Linked DNA regions of Lepisosteus oculatus. The protein of the gene in region 2 binds, or shares a complex with, the protein of the main gene of each other region. Links are inferred from orthologs where the notes say so. Each region holds a gene or a part of one and is shown on either strand. Other genes may lie near its edges.

Evidence for each region. Proteins that work in one complex are often made in the same cells at the same time.
Region 1: the proteins of profilin-2 (region 2) and vaspb are in contact, whole or in part, in a crystal structure (PDB 2V8C), measured with the Mus musculus proteins. The link is inferred for Lepisosteus oculatus from reciprocal best matches to the Homo sapiens genes PFN2 and VASP. Residues at the interface, in NP_062283.1 of Mus musculus: Gly3, Trp4, Ser6, Tyr7, Asn10, Cys13, Tyr30, Trp32, Met131, Tyr134, Ser138, Phe140; in NP_033525.2 of Mus musculus: Gly165, Pro166, Pro167, Pro168, Pro169, Pro170, Gly171, Pro172, Pro173, Pro174, Pro175, Pro176.

Annotation. Positions count from the first base shown.
Region 1 is NC_090698.1:2,213,659-2,221,216, reverse strand, and holds the start of vaspb (vasodilator-stimulated phosphoprotein), read right to left. Parts: upstream 3,036-7,558; 5' UTR 3,021-3,035; coding exon 2,815-3,020; intron 1-2,814. UniProt on the Homo sapiens protein: Ena/VASP proteins are actin-associated proteins involved in a range of processes dependent on cytoskeleton remodeling and cell polarity such as axon guidance, lamellipodial and filopodial dynamics, platelet activation and cell migration.
Region 2 is NC_090708.1:2,496,190-2,503,956, forward strand, and holds the start of profilin-2, read right to left. Parts: upstream 3,092-7,767; 5' UTR 2,657-3,091; coding exon 2,528-2,656; intron 288-2,527; coding exon 95-287; intron 1-94. UniProt on the Homo sapiens protein: Binds to actin and affects the structure of the cytoskeleton. At high concentrations, profilin prevents the polymerization of actin, whereas it enhances it at low concentrations. By binding to PIP2, it inhibits the formation of IP3 and DG.

The sequences.
Region 1 (7,558 bases), on a different chromosome or scaffold from region 2:
GGTACGAGACCGCACCGATGAGCTGAGGCTCCTCCTGAAGGGCTGTCTGAGGCTCGGCGCAGACTGACTTGTTCTGGCCGACTGCCCAGTTTGTTTGTTTTGGATCAGGGTTTTTTTGACGATGAAGAAACACGCAGATGGCCGAATTAGCCCAAGTGTTGCCACACTGGGGATGTGGTGTGAAGCCTTCTAGCTCTCTCGCCCCCCAAAAATGAAAGAAAAAATCATTTTGAACAACCTGCACCCTCCCCCCTCCGGCCCTGCACAGTGTGACAGCAGGAAGGCCTTGTTCAGAAGCGCATGTACAATGCTGGTCACTGCGTTAGAGAGGAGGTATTGCTGCTCTGGAATCTGTCCAGAGAAGGATCATCGGCTCCATTCCAGGGGTTGAGGGAGTGGTCTACACAGACACACGGGAGAAACTGAACCTTTTCACTCCTGAACACAGAAGACTACAAGGGGACCTCAGTGACCAGGTCAATCTAGCAGACTCCTGCAGCAATAACAACAAAACACGCACCAGAGGGCACAAAGGGAAACCCCATGAGAGTGCTTTTAAACCCAAGCAAAGGAGGCACTACTTTACACAAAGGGTCGTGGGAGTGTGGAACAAGGTATACAGTCACGCTGTTGAAGCCAACAGCCTGGCTTCTGTCTGGAATCATCTGCAAGAGACCCTTGGATCAATCAGCTACTGACGAGCTCAACGGGACGAGCAGTCTTCTCTTATTTATTACTTCATTCTCCTGATGGAAAGGATCGTGCTGGCCCTACTATGACCCGTTTTGTATTTTAATATTCATTAATCATTAACTGTTAAGCTCTAAAACGCACCCCGACACACATGGATATTAATCCAAATAGAGAAAAGGAACAGATCGCGTTAATATTTAATTTGTTTGTGATCCAGCGCAGGTAAATCGGAGGGATTCAACCGAAAGAAGAGTGAGCTGCTGAGCTGGAGCACAAAGCTCCAGCCTGTCCTGCAGGAGTGTCTACAGTGTCAATCGATTGCAAAGATGGTCTTTTGTTGACTGGCTTTTCCTGCTCTCGTTAAGCATGCCAATTCCTAAATGTCTGGGTACCATGCAGAGGTCTGCTCAGTGCTGAATGTTATTCGTATCCCCACTGCTTCAAGGTCTTCTATCGCCTGTGCCAAGTTGCCCCGAGTTTAACAGCAAATCAAATTAAGTAAAAAGTCCTGACGTGCTTGTTATTTTATCTGGTTATCCTACTGAAGACGCCAGGGAATCTGGAAAAAATGAGAAGCATTCCCTGCCTACAAGAGTGGTTTCTGGCAAGACAGCACTGAACAGATCACAATGAGCTCCCGGACCAACTTGAGATTCTAGGGTGCTGCCCTTACCAGGGGTACGATTCAGCCTTCTTCATCGGACAGAACCCCCAAAAATACACGTACTGTAGATGTCGGCAAAACGAGGGCTTAAAGCAGCCCTGTTCCTGGAGAGCCCCGGCTGTCGAGTCATTCTCGACTCCCCAGCGAAGCAGTTCAGGTCCAAAACTAGAACGAACGCCCTCTACCGACTAACTCCACTGCTGGACAGGGATCCGGAAAGAGAGGACAAGGCTCGGCTTCTAGTAGTGAAATAACCAGCGGAAGGGCCGGAGTGCCGCAGTAGAAGGAGCGAAAAGGTCAAAATTGAAGCCAAGGGGAGGAAGCAAAAAACTGGGAGGCGCGGGGGGGCTAGATTTGCAATGCAAACATTTCCCAGAGCGCAAAACACAGGCCCTCCCACACACGAGCACGGCTGGCCGGCGGGGGCGGCCCCAAGCCAGCCTCGCCCGCTGCCGGGGCCGCCCTGCTGGGAGACCCCCCTGCGCGCGGGGGGAGCTCGGGAGGCGCAGGTGGGCCGGAGTTCCAGAACCAGAGCGCCCAGGCGAAAACTACAGGGAAGTGCATTCAAACCTGTCAACGCGAGGCACTTCTTTACACACAGGGTGGTGGGAGTCTGGAACAAACTGACCAACCAAGTAGCTGAAGCTGATACCTCGACTACATTCGAGAACCAGCTAGATGAGATCTGGGTTCAGTCAGCCCAGATGTGCCAGACCTCTGTGCCAAATGGCCTCTGCTCATCTTCTTGATGTTCTTGTACCAGTAAACGGCACCGGCCCACACAGCACTCGCAGCTCCGGGTCCCAGCCCTGTAGTGTTTGCTGGGATGGCACGCCGGGTCCCGCTCATTCAGAACCTGATCGTTCAGACCCTGACGGAATCATGGGCCCGGGTTCATTTAATTGCCCTCCCCCGTGTCCCGGAGAGGCTAACGTTGCTGGCTCAGGGGGAGGGGCACAGGGTCAGGCTCACTCCCCAAGAGGAATCTACGGGTCTGTGACCCGGAGGGGGGCGTGCGTGTGTGTGACGGAGACAAGGCGAGAGTTTCAGACAATCGGAAAGAGAGCGAGCTGGCATGCATTTTCAATCTCTTCAGATTGCTCTTCGGCAGGAGCATTAAATGATGGATCACGCCGAGCCTCAGCTAGGCCCAGACTCTCTGAGCAGACAGCGCATCCGACAATCACTACCTGCTCCTTCAGGAGCTACTGCCACTCCCCACCTACCAACAGCAAAGTCTACCATTCACCGCAGAAATCTACAGTTTCACTTTACCACTCTGACCTTTTCCTACCGGAAATTAGGCTTCTGAAATGCTCAAGGCAGGCATATTTCCTCATAAACCTCTGGGGCCAGTGGGCTGTGTTAAACACATCAGCAGAGCTCTCAAAATAAAGGATCGTGTGCTCGATGGGCTCAAAAGGCTAGCAATCCAGAAGCCAGGACCACAGACACACCTACTGAGCACGATCCATCGACAAACCCCTCTGTACGATGCCGTAGTCCAAGGCACCGCACCCCGAAACCCTGGGTGGAAACAGGAGCCAAAATGGCTGCTGATCCAGGAGGGAAAGCAGCCCTGTTGCCTGGTCAGGCAGGAGTTAACAGGAAACTGTGCAGCTGGGGCGAAGTAAACAGACTGCGGCCAGGCGCTCTCAGACATGCCTGTATAAGGCTGTGCTCAGCGACACGCCGACGGGCTGAGTCATGCCCCACAAGGCACGCCCCCTCCGTCTCTCCCCCTGTGCGACTGCTCCCTCAGGAGCTCTCTGTACCTGCGCCTCCCGTCTCTCTTCTTCAGGCCCAGGCCCAGCCCCGCCTGCCCCTCTCCTCCCTCCCACACCCCGTCTCCCTGCCAGCCCTGGCTCGCTCCGCTCTACCTGCCCCCCCCTCCACTCCCTCCGAGTCTCCAGCCCCACCTCCCACTGCAGCCCTCTCCTCTCCCCACCAAACCGCTCAAAACCTACAATCACCAGCCTGCCTTCGGCTCACAGTCTGGGGTGTTTGTGCCTGCTCCTTTTTGTGCTCAGTGTTGTTTGGCAGTCTGCTGAGCTGGCTTGCGTCAGCTTGGCAGAGCGTCTCGCGCTTTTACTTACTGCAAACTTTTTTCCCTTAAAACAAGAAACCCTTCATGTGAATTATCTGTGCTTGTACTAGGGCTATCCTATCGGCAGCCTGCAGGCCTCGCCTCCCCCGATGCGGTCCAGAGGACACTGACAGTGAGAGGGATGTGGTCAGGGTAAACAGGAACACTGCTCTAGCCACTGATATTAACAAATGAAAAAAAAAAAGTTTTGAAGTCGGCCCGAACATAACTGTCAAAAAGTAGACGAGTGCAAGTACAGCTGCTGTTAATACATTTACCATCTTAAAGCGAGACTGTGGTAGACGATACCAGATATACAACAGGCTTATATAATTAGCTGCGTAAGCTTTCGGTAACAGAATGAACAAACGCAGCATTAATATGCAGCTCTGCAAAAGTGCAAATCTCGCAGGCACCTCAGAATACACCCCAAGCTAAGCACAGGCAAGACTGCCCCTCTGGTCTCCATACACAACTAACTGCAGAAATGAAACGCACACAAAGGTACATCATTTATCAAGATATGTGACATACGCCTGAAACGTGTTTGGGCGATTTGAGACACAGGACACAGATTATAGTGGTCTGGGCTCCAGGACACATCTTGGCTTTGAGCTCTCGAAGAGTTAATTCCACATTCCACCAGCCCCACAGGGCGTTTCAGACTGGAGCCTGCATTCTGGGAGCACTGCCGGTGTCTTAGGGCTGCGGGCGACTCACGGCCTTCGACAAGCGCGGGCGTGGCGGAGGAGAGAGGGTTCTGAAACGGAGAGAGCCTTCCACACATCGAGATAAACTGATCGCCGCCACTTTTTTCACAAGGGATCTGAGATAAGGCCTTGGAGGAAAAAAACAAGAACTTTAAGACCTCTGGTGCATTGGCCTGATGCTCACCTCCTTCCCACAGAGGAACAGGTAAAGGTCTATTCCATGCAGAAAGGAAAGGAAAAGAGAAAACGTTTCGGCTGTGGATCTTCTTCAGGTGTGTGCAGAAGGCCCCACATCCGAAACGTTGCGTCTCTCCTCATGTCTTTTCCTTTCAGCAGGGAGAAATCCTTGACCTGTTCCTCTGCAGCCGGCACACGCCGACACAGCTCCCTCCTCGAGCATCTCCTTCACACTATATATAACCAGCCTCACGAATGGACAGGTGATCCCAGCGTCGGTATTATCACATACACCCCTGGGAACACCGAATCAGGCTGTTACTTATCAGACTTCACATTACTGCGATTGTCAGCGTGAAGAGAGTGTGAATAAACCTGATGAAATGCGGCCAGCCAGCTCTTGAAATCAACAAACTTTCTCTCTGGATCTGTAACGTGCTTTAGGGAGCACAAATCCAGTTTGGGACTCTGCGAAACAATTCGGAGATCCATCTCTTGTGAAGCCGATGTCCTGAGCTCCCCAGCGGGGCTGCAGGTGCGCAACACTACCACGCACTCCGATGTCTGCAGAAGCGGACAAAACTTCGCAGAACGCAACTTGATTGTTATCCACAACCAGATGGAAAAGAACCACTGAAAACAATGTCCTCCGCTTTCACGGGGGGACAATGAGAACGTAGAACAAACTGCGTTCGTTTGTTCCGCACACTCATTGTTTCTTCAGCTACATCCTCAGGCTCTTGTGAAAGATGCTTCTGCAAATTCACAGTTTGCTAAAACCAGGCACTGTGGTTTGACTTCCTCAAATTCCTCTTCCCCCCCAGGGTCGGCGCAGGCGAGTCTGGTCAGCACGAGCCGCACGGAGCGGTAGCTCTGTCTGCGACAGCGGGGGCTTGGCTTCACACCGAGGAACGGCGGCAGGGTGAACCGGCCCGTCACGGTACCGGCTCGCCCCGGGACAGGCTTGGTCTTGGATACGGCCCCACTCAATGGAACAGTGTCATGAAGCTGTCAGGTGCACACGCCCCACTCCTCCTCTGAAGGAACCCCAAAACACTCGCAGGGAGATCTCAGGGGGCACGGGCAGAGAGGGACACCCCGAAAGGCATCAATTTGGGTGTGATGGTGAAGTTGCATCATTCCGCCTGCTGCTACTCTGCAAATTCGCAAAGGGCCGGCACTCGTAAGCAGCTCTGGATGGGAGATGTGCAGATGTGGCGCAGCCAGGGTGCAACTTCCAAACCCGCCGCACGCCGCTTCCTCCGGCGCATTTTCACACAATGACGGGTCCGCAGGGCAGTTCTCCTTTCCAGCAGATTAACTGCACCGCTCCTGTCCACCACCCGACACCAGGCGCAGAACAGGGCCCGCACCGCACCTGCCCAGTTTAAACGTATGGCATCCAAGAACAGACACAAACCAGAGTGGAGCTAAAGAACAGTAGCGTGTTCCACGCTCCTACAAGCCTTTGTGTAAAGAAGTGCCTGTTTTAAATGCACTTCCAAGTGGTTTCAACCTGTGCCGTCTGGTCCGCGTCTCACCGTTCATTCTGAAGAAGCCCACTGAGTGACTTTGTTGCCTTTGATGATTTCGATTACTTGGACGAAGACCCCTTTCAGTGTTTAGGACTAAAGAGCTTCAGCTCCTTCAGCCTGTCCGTGTGGGATGTTTCCTTAAGCCCCACAAAGAATACGAGCGTTACTTCCTGGTCTGATTTCAGAGCAGCAATGCATTTTTTTAGAGGACGATGACAACACTCATACAGAGCACTCTACATGAAAGCCTGAATACAACGGATCAAAGAGTTATGCTCCTTCCAACCCTGTACGTCAGCTGATGGAAAAGAAATGCATGTTCATGTCGCGGATGCAAAGTGATGCTGTTCTAAACTGATGTGTGCATCATGATGTGAGGGGGAGGGGGACTGTACGACCCTCCTGACAGGCAAAACTGGGAACTGCATTTCATTAAATAATGTTCATCGCCACTCTAACGAGCCACATTGTAGTTCATTATTCAGTGCGAATAATTCTTCACTCAACAGGCCTAACCACAGCTCAGCAGAGGAGCAGCAGAGCTCCGGCCCCTCCTCCTCGAATGGCCTGGCGGAGGGGGGTTGATGAAGCACAATTTCATATTCCCGCAGGCTCCTGTCGCACAGGGCTCGTCTGAGGACTGCTGATCAGCGCTTCCACCTTTGAAGCCGTTTCTTGCGAGACCGGAGAGCACGAAGCCCGGGCTTGGGTGCCGGTGTCCTGCGCTCTTTCCTGGGGTGTCCACCCATGTCCGGCGATTTCGCAGGCTCTGTTTCCTTCCACTCCAGAAACCCTCATCCCTTCAAGTCCCCACAAGACCCTGCACGCTCACTGTCCTCCTCCAGGCTACCAGTAATCACAGCACCCAGCAATGCAAGGCATGCAGGAAATGGCAGAGATTCAGGGCTGCGCCCTGGACTCGCAGAAGAGCTGCACTCTGTAAACTCACAACTCACACTCTCCCTCTCTGCCCCATAAACCTCTCTATTCCTTCGTTACCTGCGGAGCTCAGCACGCCTTGCGTACAACAACACGGTGCAGAGATGGAACTAGGCTCTCTGGTTCCGGTACCAGTCTGATCTCCCGCTCAGGTGAGCGCGGAGGTGGGCGTGGCAGGCTTGGGCCACTCTGCTGCAGAGCGCGACGCCCGGCGGTTCTGCTCCACGGGCACAAGGGGGCGCTTCAAATGTCACCGAACACACCGGGCAGCCTTCCTCTGCTCCCTCAAGAGCCTTCTGTCCGTGTGGCGGGAGGCTGGGGAGGCGTGGCTCCCAAAACAACTCTTGAACAGAGGAGGCTACGAGGGGATCCGATACAAGCAATCAAAAATCCTCAAGGCTCTGGCAAACCCAACCCAGCGGACGTCTTCAGAATCAAGGGTGAAACACGAACCAGGGGACACAAGGGGAAATGCATTTAAAACTGAGAACTCTTTTACACAATGGGTGGTGGGGGTGGGGAACAAGCTCGCCAACCATGTAGCTAAAGCCCGATACCCTGCCTTCTTACAAAAGACAGCTGGAGGAGATCCTAGAATCAATCAACTGGCTAACGGGCTGGTAGGGCCACACAGCTCCTCTCATTGCATTATTGGACTTTGATCCAACCAATAATGGCTTATTTTACTGGCCCTGTAGAACACTTAGACATGAAAAGGACTGGAAGTGTCTGTTTCTCATCGGATCAGACAGAG
Region 2 (7,767 bases):
TAGGTCATGCATTTCAGAGAAATTTTGGAATAGTCAGTTTTAAACTTAGATCTACAATTTAAGAAGTTATTTTATATAAAAAGTAGTACATTACCTTTTCCGGCTCTGCCTACAGAAACATTATATGTTGGCTCTCCACCTTGACTCTTTGTCCTGATGTCCATTGTCCAGTCCCCTTCAACATGAAGACTGTCTCTGATCACAGAGCACTTCTTTGAACCTAAGGTCAGACCGCTGGTGAAGAAACCCTCTCGGTCTTTTCCAACTATCACATCAATTTCTTGGGGCTAGAAAGTACAAAAAAAAAAAGAACTAAGATTTTGTACATTTTAAGAAATGTCACCCACGTCAATGTTCCACGTCATCCTGCAAGTAAAAATTCAATTCTGAAGAACCTCACCGGACCCAGTCATATCTGAATTTAATCCTATGCCACCTAAACCTCCTCTACATGGAGAGATCAGCTGTTTCTAAATGCAGTGCAGGGGACAAACTGCTGAGAACACCATCGTTTTCCCACCCCCATCACGTTCGCAAGAGCAACCCCTAGTGCGTCATGAAACCCACCACAGTGGCAGGTCATCCAAAGAATAAAGAGGTGCCCCCCCCCAGGAAAAAACCGTCTGGAGATGCGGCACAGCAGTCCCAGCCCAGCGAAAGCACACAGAGCGAGGCAGCCCTGCTCTGCCGAGGGCGTCACGCTTTGTGCCTGGAAGAGCAGAGCCGGACCCCTCCGGCCCAGAGCCCGCACGACCCGGACTGACCGGCCTCGCCTGGAGGGAGGCGACGTCACGCCAGGCGACGGCATTTTTAAGCTGCCGAGATTTTTTTTTTCTAAAAAAAGGGAGTTCCACGGTAAAAAAAAAAACCACACACACAAAAAAAAAGACAGCAGTGCATCAGTTTCCTGCACGGCGGTGTCACACGGGGGGTCCGTGTGCAAGTGGGCTCGACTCGGCCCGGGGACCTGCGGGCTGCCGTCACGCCGCGGCCGCAGTCCAGAAGGTTCCTTGCGCGTCCGCGTTCAGACGTGGGGGGGTGGGTGGGGAATGAATATGAAGGTTGCGGGCTGGTTTGCGAGCCGGGTTTTTTTATTTAATCACCCCCAACCCCCACCCCTGCCGGAGGAAAGCGACCCGTGTGAGAGAAGGCGTCGCCCTCCAGTAGAACTGCACAGTCATGGCAGGCCCGGCCATCACCCCCTCCCTCCTCCTCCTCCCTGTCTCCGTGTCCGCTCCACTCGCACAAACCCCGCGACCACAGCCACTCAGGCGAAGGCGATGACTTTGAGGGCCGCTGTCATGAGATCCGAGCGGGGGGTGGTGGTGGTGGTGGTGGTGATGATGATGATGGGGGGAGAATCTCGACTCTTAAGATCATCATGCATCATTTAAAACCGGCATCCAGATCCGCAATCCGCGCTAGAGCTTTTTTTTTTCCTGGAGTGGTGGGGGTCGGGGGGGGGGGGGGGGGGGGACATTTTGCATGTCAACAAGCCACAAACCCAAGGGGTGGAAAGATGGGACCCGTCGCCATGTGGGAGCGCCCACCCCAGGAGCGGCCGAGCTCGGAAACCGCCGGCTGGAAATAAAAGCCGCCGCGACACGTTGCGCCGCGACCGGGCAGGGGCGAAACGCGGCGGCGGCGGCACCGGACCGCAGAAAACCTCCATCCACCCGTACAAAATGGAGGATATCTCGCCTTCTCACTCGTCTTACAAAAGGTGCTGCCCCATTTTGTCCCCCTCCTCCTCCTCCCAAAAAACAAACAAACTGGACGCTTCGCGGCTGCAAAACAAGCCGCCCGAACGAGACGACAGCAGCTTTTTAAAAAAAAAAAAAAACACCTCCAACACCGCATTGTTGGACATAATGCGGCGAGTTGCCGTGCAAGGAGTCCGAGCTGTTGGGATGAATAAAAAAAAAAAACCCCAGCGCGGGGAGGCGCCATCTTGGGCAGCACGAAGGAGGCGGCAGCGGCGGCGCGGCCGGGATTCTCGAAGCCCCGGTACGCACTGTCCCCACCGCAGCCGCCCCGCTCGCCCGGCCGGGTTACGTCAGAAACGTGGCGTAACTTTCTCCGAATCTGGACGGCCGGCCTGATTTCATCGTCTTCTCTCTCTCTCGGCCCCCCCCCGCCCGCAACGCACCACCACTGCCTTTCCCGCATTGCCGGTCGCAGACACCCGTACATTTAAGTGCTGGGGGGGGAATCCCCCCCCCCCAGAAAACAGACGAAGCCCCCTCCTCCTCCTCCTCCTCTCCCACACCGCACGTTTTGAAGCGACCCACGCGTGGAAATAAAGAGGGCAGCGGGGGCTGTTATCCCGTCCGTCGCCCCTCCCTCCTCCTCCTCCTCCCCCCGTGGAAGTTCCCCTGGAATAAAGATCTAACGGGCCCCCAGCGCCGGGCCTCGGCCTGCGGCTCCCCGGACAACAGGCCCGCCCGGCCCGGGCCTGCTCCTCGGACAGACCGGCCGATCCCCGGGCTGCCCTGACGCCCCCCTCCCTCCTCTCCCGGGCCCTTACCGTCATGCTGTGGAAAGTCCCGCCGGCCGACGCGGCCCAGACGTACTTGGCGTCCGTGTAACCGACGATGGCGGAGTCCTGGCAGCTGCCGTCAGCCATCAAATTATCCACGTAGCTCTGCCAGGACATGCTTGCGTCTCTCTCTCTCTCTCGATCTCTCCCCCTCTGGAACACGACCGGCGGTTAAAGACGGCAGGAGCGCTGAAGAAGACGGGCGCTGGGGGAGGAGGGAGCCGGGAGGTAAGGGGGGAAGAGAGAACCCAGCCGGGGAAGGATGCTGTCTTCTGCTGCTGCTGCTGAGGGGGGATCTGGCCGCGTTTGAACGCCTCGCTGCGGTGTCGGGTGCGTTTGGAAGAAGAGGAGGAGGAGGAGGAGGAGGAGAAGAAGGAGCCGCAGGACTGGGGGGGAGGATGTCTGAAGTCGAAAGCGTGTCTCCAGCGGCAGCCACAGCCCGGCGCTCCGTCTCGTGCCCCGCTCGGATCTGAGCTCGCGCTGCGCGGCGGCGCCGAGTAACATTCGGGCAGCGCGAGCGGGGTGTAGTCCCTCCGCCAGATCACTCCGCGCGGCTGCGCTGCGGCCCGGCCCGCCTCGCCTCGCCTCGCCCGTAGCAGAGCCTGGCGGAGGGATCAAGCAGGAGGAGGAGGAGGGGGGGGGGAGGAAAAAAGGGCCGGCTGAGGAGGAGGAGGGGGAGCCGCAAAAGTCCGGGTGGGGAACAGTCAGGATCGTGACTGAACTTCACCTTCCCTTGCCGGACGTGGTCGGGTTCGGACCCGGTCCGGGAGATTTCTATGTTGTTGTGGAGGAGGAGGGGAATAAAATAAAAAAAAAAACGTTTTGCAGTTTTTGGAGGTTTCATGTTTTTTTTTGGCAAGCGGGAGGTTTCCAAGTTGCCCCGTTTAATAATCCAATCTGATATTTAAAAGCGGTGGGTAGTCATTCTGATGAAGGGGAAAGCGGCTCGTCTGCTAAGCTCTTGCACACACACACCAGCGCAGAGCACCCGAATTGCCCCTCTGTAAAATCAACTTTGGGTCGTTCTTCTAATCTAAATCTTTCATGCAGAGCCTAACCCCAACACAATTCGTTGATATAGATGATAAGGATTGTATGGCTACTTTTCCATTATCAGAAGTTCGGCAGGAAGGTTTAATTGGACCTTAATTGTACCTAACGCTATGAAAATCTGTTTACACGCGAAGTTTAGGTAACACAATCACGGTCAGTGCAGGGTGCCCAAATTAAATATTGCAAATCAATCAAGTACTGAGGGAGCATTTGTGTTTGACAAAGTAATAGAGGGGTTTCAGGATAAACTATTTCAGGATAATTTAATTTAAATATTTAATAACATAATTTTATTTCAGGGTAAACTTATTTTTGTGTAGAAACCGTTCCCTGGAACCGGCCGGTCTCCACAGCTCTGTGAAAGACATCCACCACCATCCAGACCTTCAACAGCAGGGGCCCCCAGCCCAGTCAATCCCAGTCCAGTCCCGTCCTGTCCAGCCCAGTCCACTCCAGTCTGGTCCAGTCCACTCTAGTCCAGTCAAGCACAGTCCAGTCCAGTCCTTTTAAATGCAGTCCAGTTTAGTTTAGACTGGTCCACTCCAGTGCAGTCCACTCCAGTCTAGTGTCATCTAGAGTCTAGTGTACTCTAGTCCACTCCAGTCCGTCAAAATCCAGTCTTGTCCACCCCAGCCAAGTCCTCATCCGTCCAATCCACTCCAGTCTAGTGTACTCTAGTCCAGTCCAGTACAGAACTTGAACTTTATTGCCATATGTAACTGGTACATAAACTGGTACAATGGAATTCTTACTTACAGAAAGTCTCTCGATTGTAAAACAGGTGTAAAAACACAAAGTGCAGACAGTGCATCAAGACAATAGACAAACAGTGGACAATGTACAAGTCAACATGTAGACAGCTTGAATGTGTACAATACAGCCCAGCTCAGCTCAACCCACTCCAGACCCTTCCAACCTAATCCAGTCCAGTCCAATCCAGGCCCCAGGGACCTCTGTTCCAGCTTCCAGCTCCAGCTCTATGTCACCCTTAAATAATCAACTGCTAAAGACTTGGAACAATTTCATTGTGACCAATTAAGAAAATGATTTGTTTAAATTAAGACACTGAAGAGACCAATTGGGATTAAAATCTGGGTGCCCTTCGGATGCCAATTATTGGAGATCTCTAAATTGAATGGATTATTGCTTAGGTGATCGATAACTCACAGGTGTTCCCCACCTTTAGAAACCGGTGACCACAGGGTGGCTATTGGTCGTGAAAGATGGGATCGGAGTGGAGTAACCCATTTGCCTGCCCCTCAGAAATGTGCAGAACCCATAGCCACACCATGACTAGAGCAGATCACCTCTCTGACGCTTGGGTGATCCCCCCCTTTGCACTGAAACCGGCCTAGTTTGAGGGTGATCTCGTATTTCTGTACTTCTAAAGGTGCTGCCACATTAACTCCACACCTCTAACCAAAATTCATAACTGTTTTTAAAGGACGGGGAACTCTCCTGCAATACTGACGTGAAAGCCGGCTGGGTGGTGTTAATAATCATCGTGACAGCAGAGAAGCCAACCAGCCTTGGTGGCGCATCTTTAGGCTCTGGAGGGAAACAGAGGCATCTAGAGAAAGCCCACACAGATGTAAGGAGATCGTGCAAACTCCACATGACTCCACAAACCTAAAAATAAACAGAGTTTAACGACAGGAAATTGATTCCAGTTGTCAGATCACGTAGACACATACCTTAGCTTTGTGCAACAACCTGAAACTTTCAGGTACCATAAATAATATTATTGCTAAACATATGCCATTCTAATCTGCAAGAGAATATAGAATACGAATTTTTGTATAAAAATGCATTAAGTCCTGTTCTACACCTGCATGCTTTGGAAGCACTGGCCTACCTGTATACAAAATAAACAGAAGGATTCCAGGCCTGAACAGAAGCCAGAAGTCAAAAGATGTGATAAAAAAGCTACACGATTAAAACACCATAAGATGCAGAAAAAGTTTGTTTCTGGGTACCTAAACCTTGCACTGATTTTTATAAACCCTCTTGACAAACATCTCTTCGGACAAACACAACCGATGTCCAGACATAACAATGATATAATTCATATAATAGAATCTGATATAATAAAATGACCGATCAGGAGCATAGTCTTGCTGTATGCAGAATCACCCTGAGAAATGCCTTGCCTCGTACTGACCTGAGGCACCGTGTGATGGCAAAATCATTTTTAATACATTTACTAGGAGCGTTACCCCTGTTTCAGGCTGATATTCCAGGGAAGGACCCAGCTCAATCCAAGCACGAAACGTTGACTAAGTTCCCATCAGTTGCTGTATGGGCATGGGGCATCTCCTGACACTGTTTACAGCGATTACTGTCTTAGCTTTCTCCTGTTCAAAGCACTACAACCCGTGTAGACATATTCCCACAGGACAAAAGTTTGGAATATTTCCTTTTTTAGAAAAAACATACTTTTTTAATTTAGAAGCTATGGGATAGACGATGAAAAAAGAAGTGTTTTAAATTGAGCTGATTGAAATAAGCCAACCCTGCAAAGCGCTGTGTGTTAATAGATACTGGGGTGTTGCTACAGTAGCACTGGATTGTCACTGGGGGAGGTATTTTCCTCATTTAATCTTCACACTTTTGACCCTCCCCTGCCTTATTTCTTGTAGGTTGTATGTCTGCGTCCACATATTGCTGATCTTACATTGCTTCCTCAGTTGTCTCAATGTAAGAGACGGTCCAGGCTTTTAAAAGCAGACAGTAAGTCAATCTTTGGGAAGAACATCTTAAAAGGTGCCTGTAAGTCTCAAGGTGAATCACAGGGATAGTCGCATTCCCTAACTCCTCTGGGAAGAGAACTTCACAGTCGGAGATGATGGACCAGCTGCCAGTGTCAGCCACCGGCCACGGTCCAGCATCAGCAGAACTCTGCACTGAGACAAAAGCTGAGAGACATTAGGGACAGACAGGACACACACTGTCCCTCAAACACACTGGGGTTTTGTTTGTGTTGCCCTTGCCTTTTAATTCCCCTGAGGCCATTTAGAGTTCTCAATTTCCTGTGGACCACAGGCCCCACCATCACACACTACAGGTATGTCAAAGATTTCTGCCCTGAATGAAGTCCAAACCTGTTTACCCACTGGCCACCAGTGAGGGCCGGACACAGGACTTTTCACCCCGCAGGGAAACCACAATCTCGAACCCGATCCCCGGCACAGCCCTGGCCTTCGGTCTCCCCCGCTGCGATGTGTCGGTCAAGCATCGTCACCGGCCCCTGCGGGCCGGTCAGGGGTTGGACTGCAGCAGCAGCTGTGTGGGGGCGTGTCGCTCTAGAGGCAGGTAAAGGCAGGGAGAGGGGGCACAGGGTCATGACCGCGGGCTTGGATGAGAACTAGAGTTCTCAAGTGCTGCCTGCGCCCGTATCAAGACCAAAGTGTAACACTGTTTTAGAGCTCACCGCAATGCACAGTTTCTCCAGTCGGAGAATTCATATTTATAGGAGGTATACCTTCTCTGTAGCTCTCCATAAAGAGCGATAAACTGAACAGATTTTAATTCAATAAGTGTTCTCCTTCGGCGAAACTGCAAAGCCGCCATCATTCCAGCCAGAACAATCCCACTCAAGGCCTCTTGGAAGCTGAACAGTCAATAGCCTATTTGAAGAGCCATTGAGAAGTAAAATGAAAAAGTTAAAATTGCATTAAAAGATCGTTCAAGATTGGCTTGCCTCTCAAAAATGCGGGACTTGAAGTTTAAATACAGTTTGACTGCTGTGATCTATAAAGAAAACACACAGCCTGCCAATCTTAGTAAGATTTCTTTTCAGACAAAAAGAGAGATTACATCAGGTGTGTATTACAGTGGGACATTTTTTCTTCCTCTAGAAGAGAATTTTGAGATTCAGCAAAAGAAAAGAACACAGCTACAAATGGAAGTGGAAACTTACAAATGAGAAGTTTAGTAGCCCTTACTTCCCTTTCGTGAAAGAAAATCGACAGTATGGGCTTCGGCAATCGTGGCTGGCTAGCTTGTTCCATACTCCCACAACCCTTTGTGTAGAGAAGTGCCTCCAGCTCCCGGTTTGACATGCTCTTCCATGAGGGCTTCCTCCTTCCTAATTCCCACAGGGCACTCCTTCCTCCCTGGGTGGCTGGGACACAATTCCACATCCCGTGTCACATGAAGATAACCATCAGGACAGT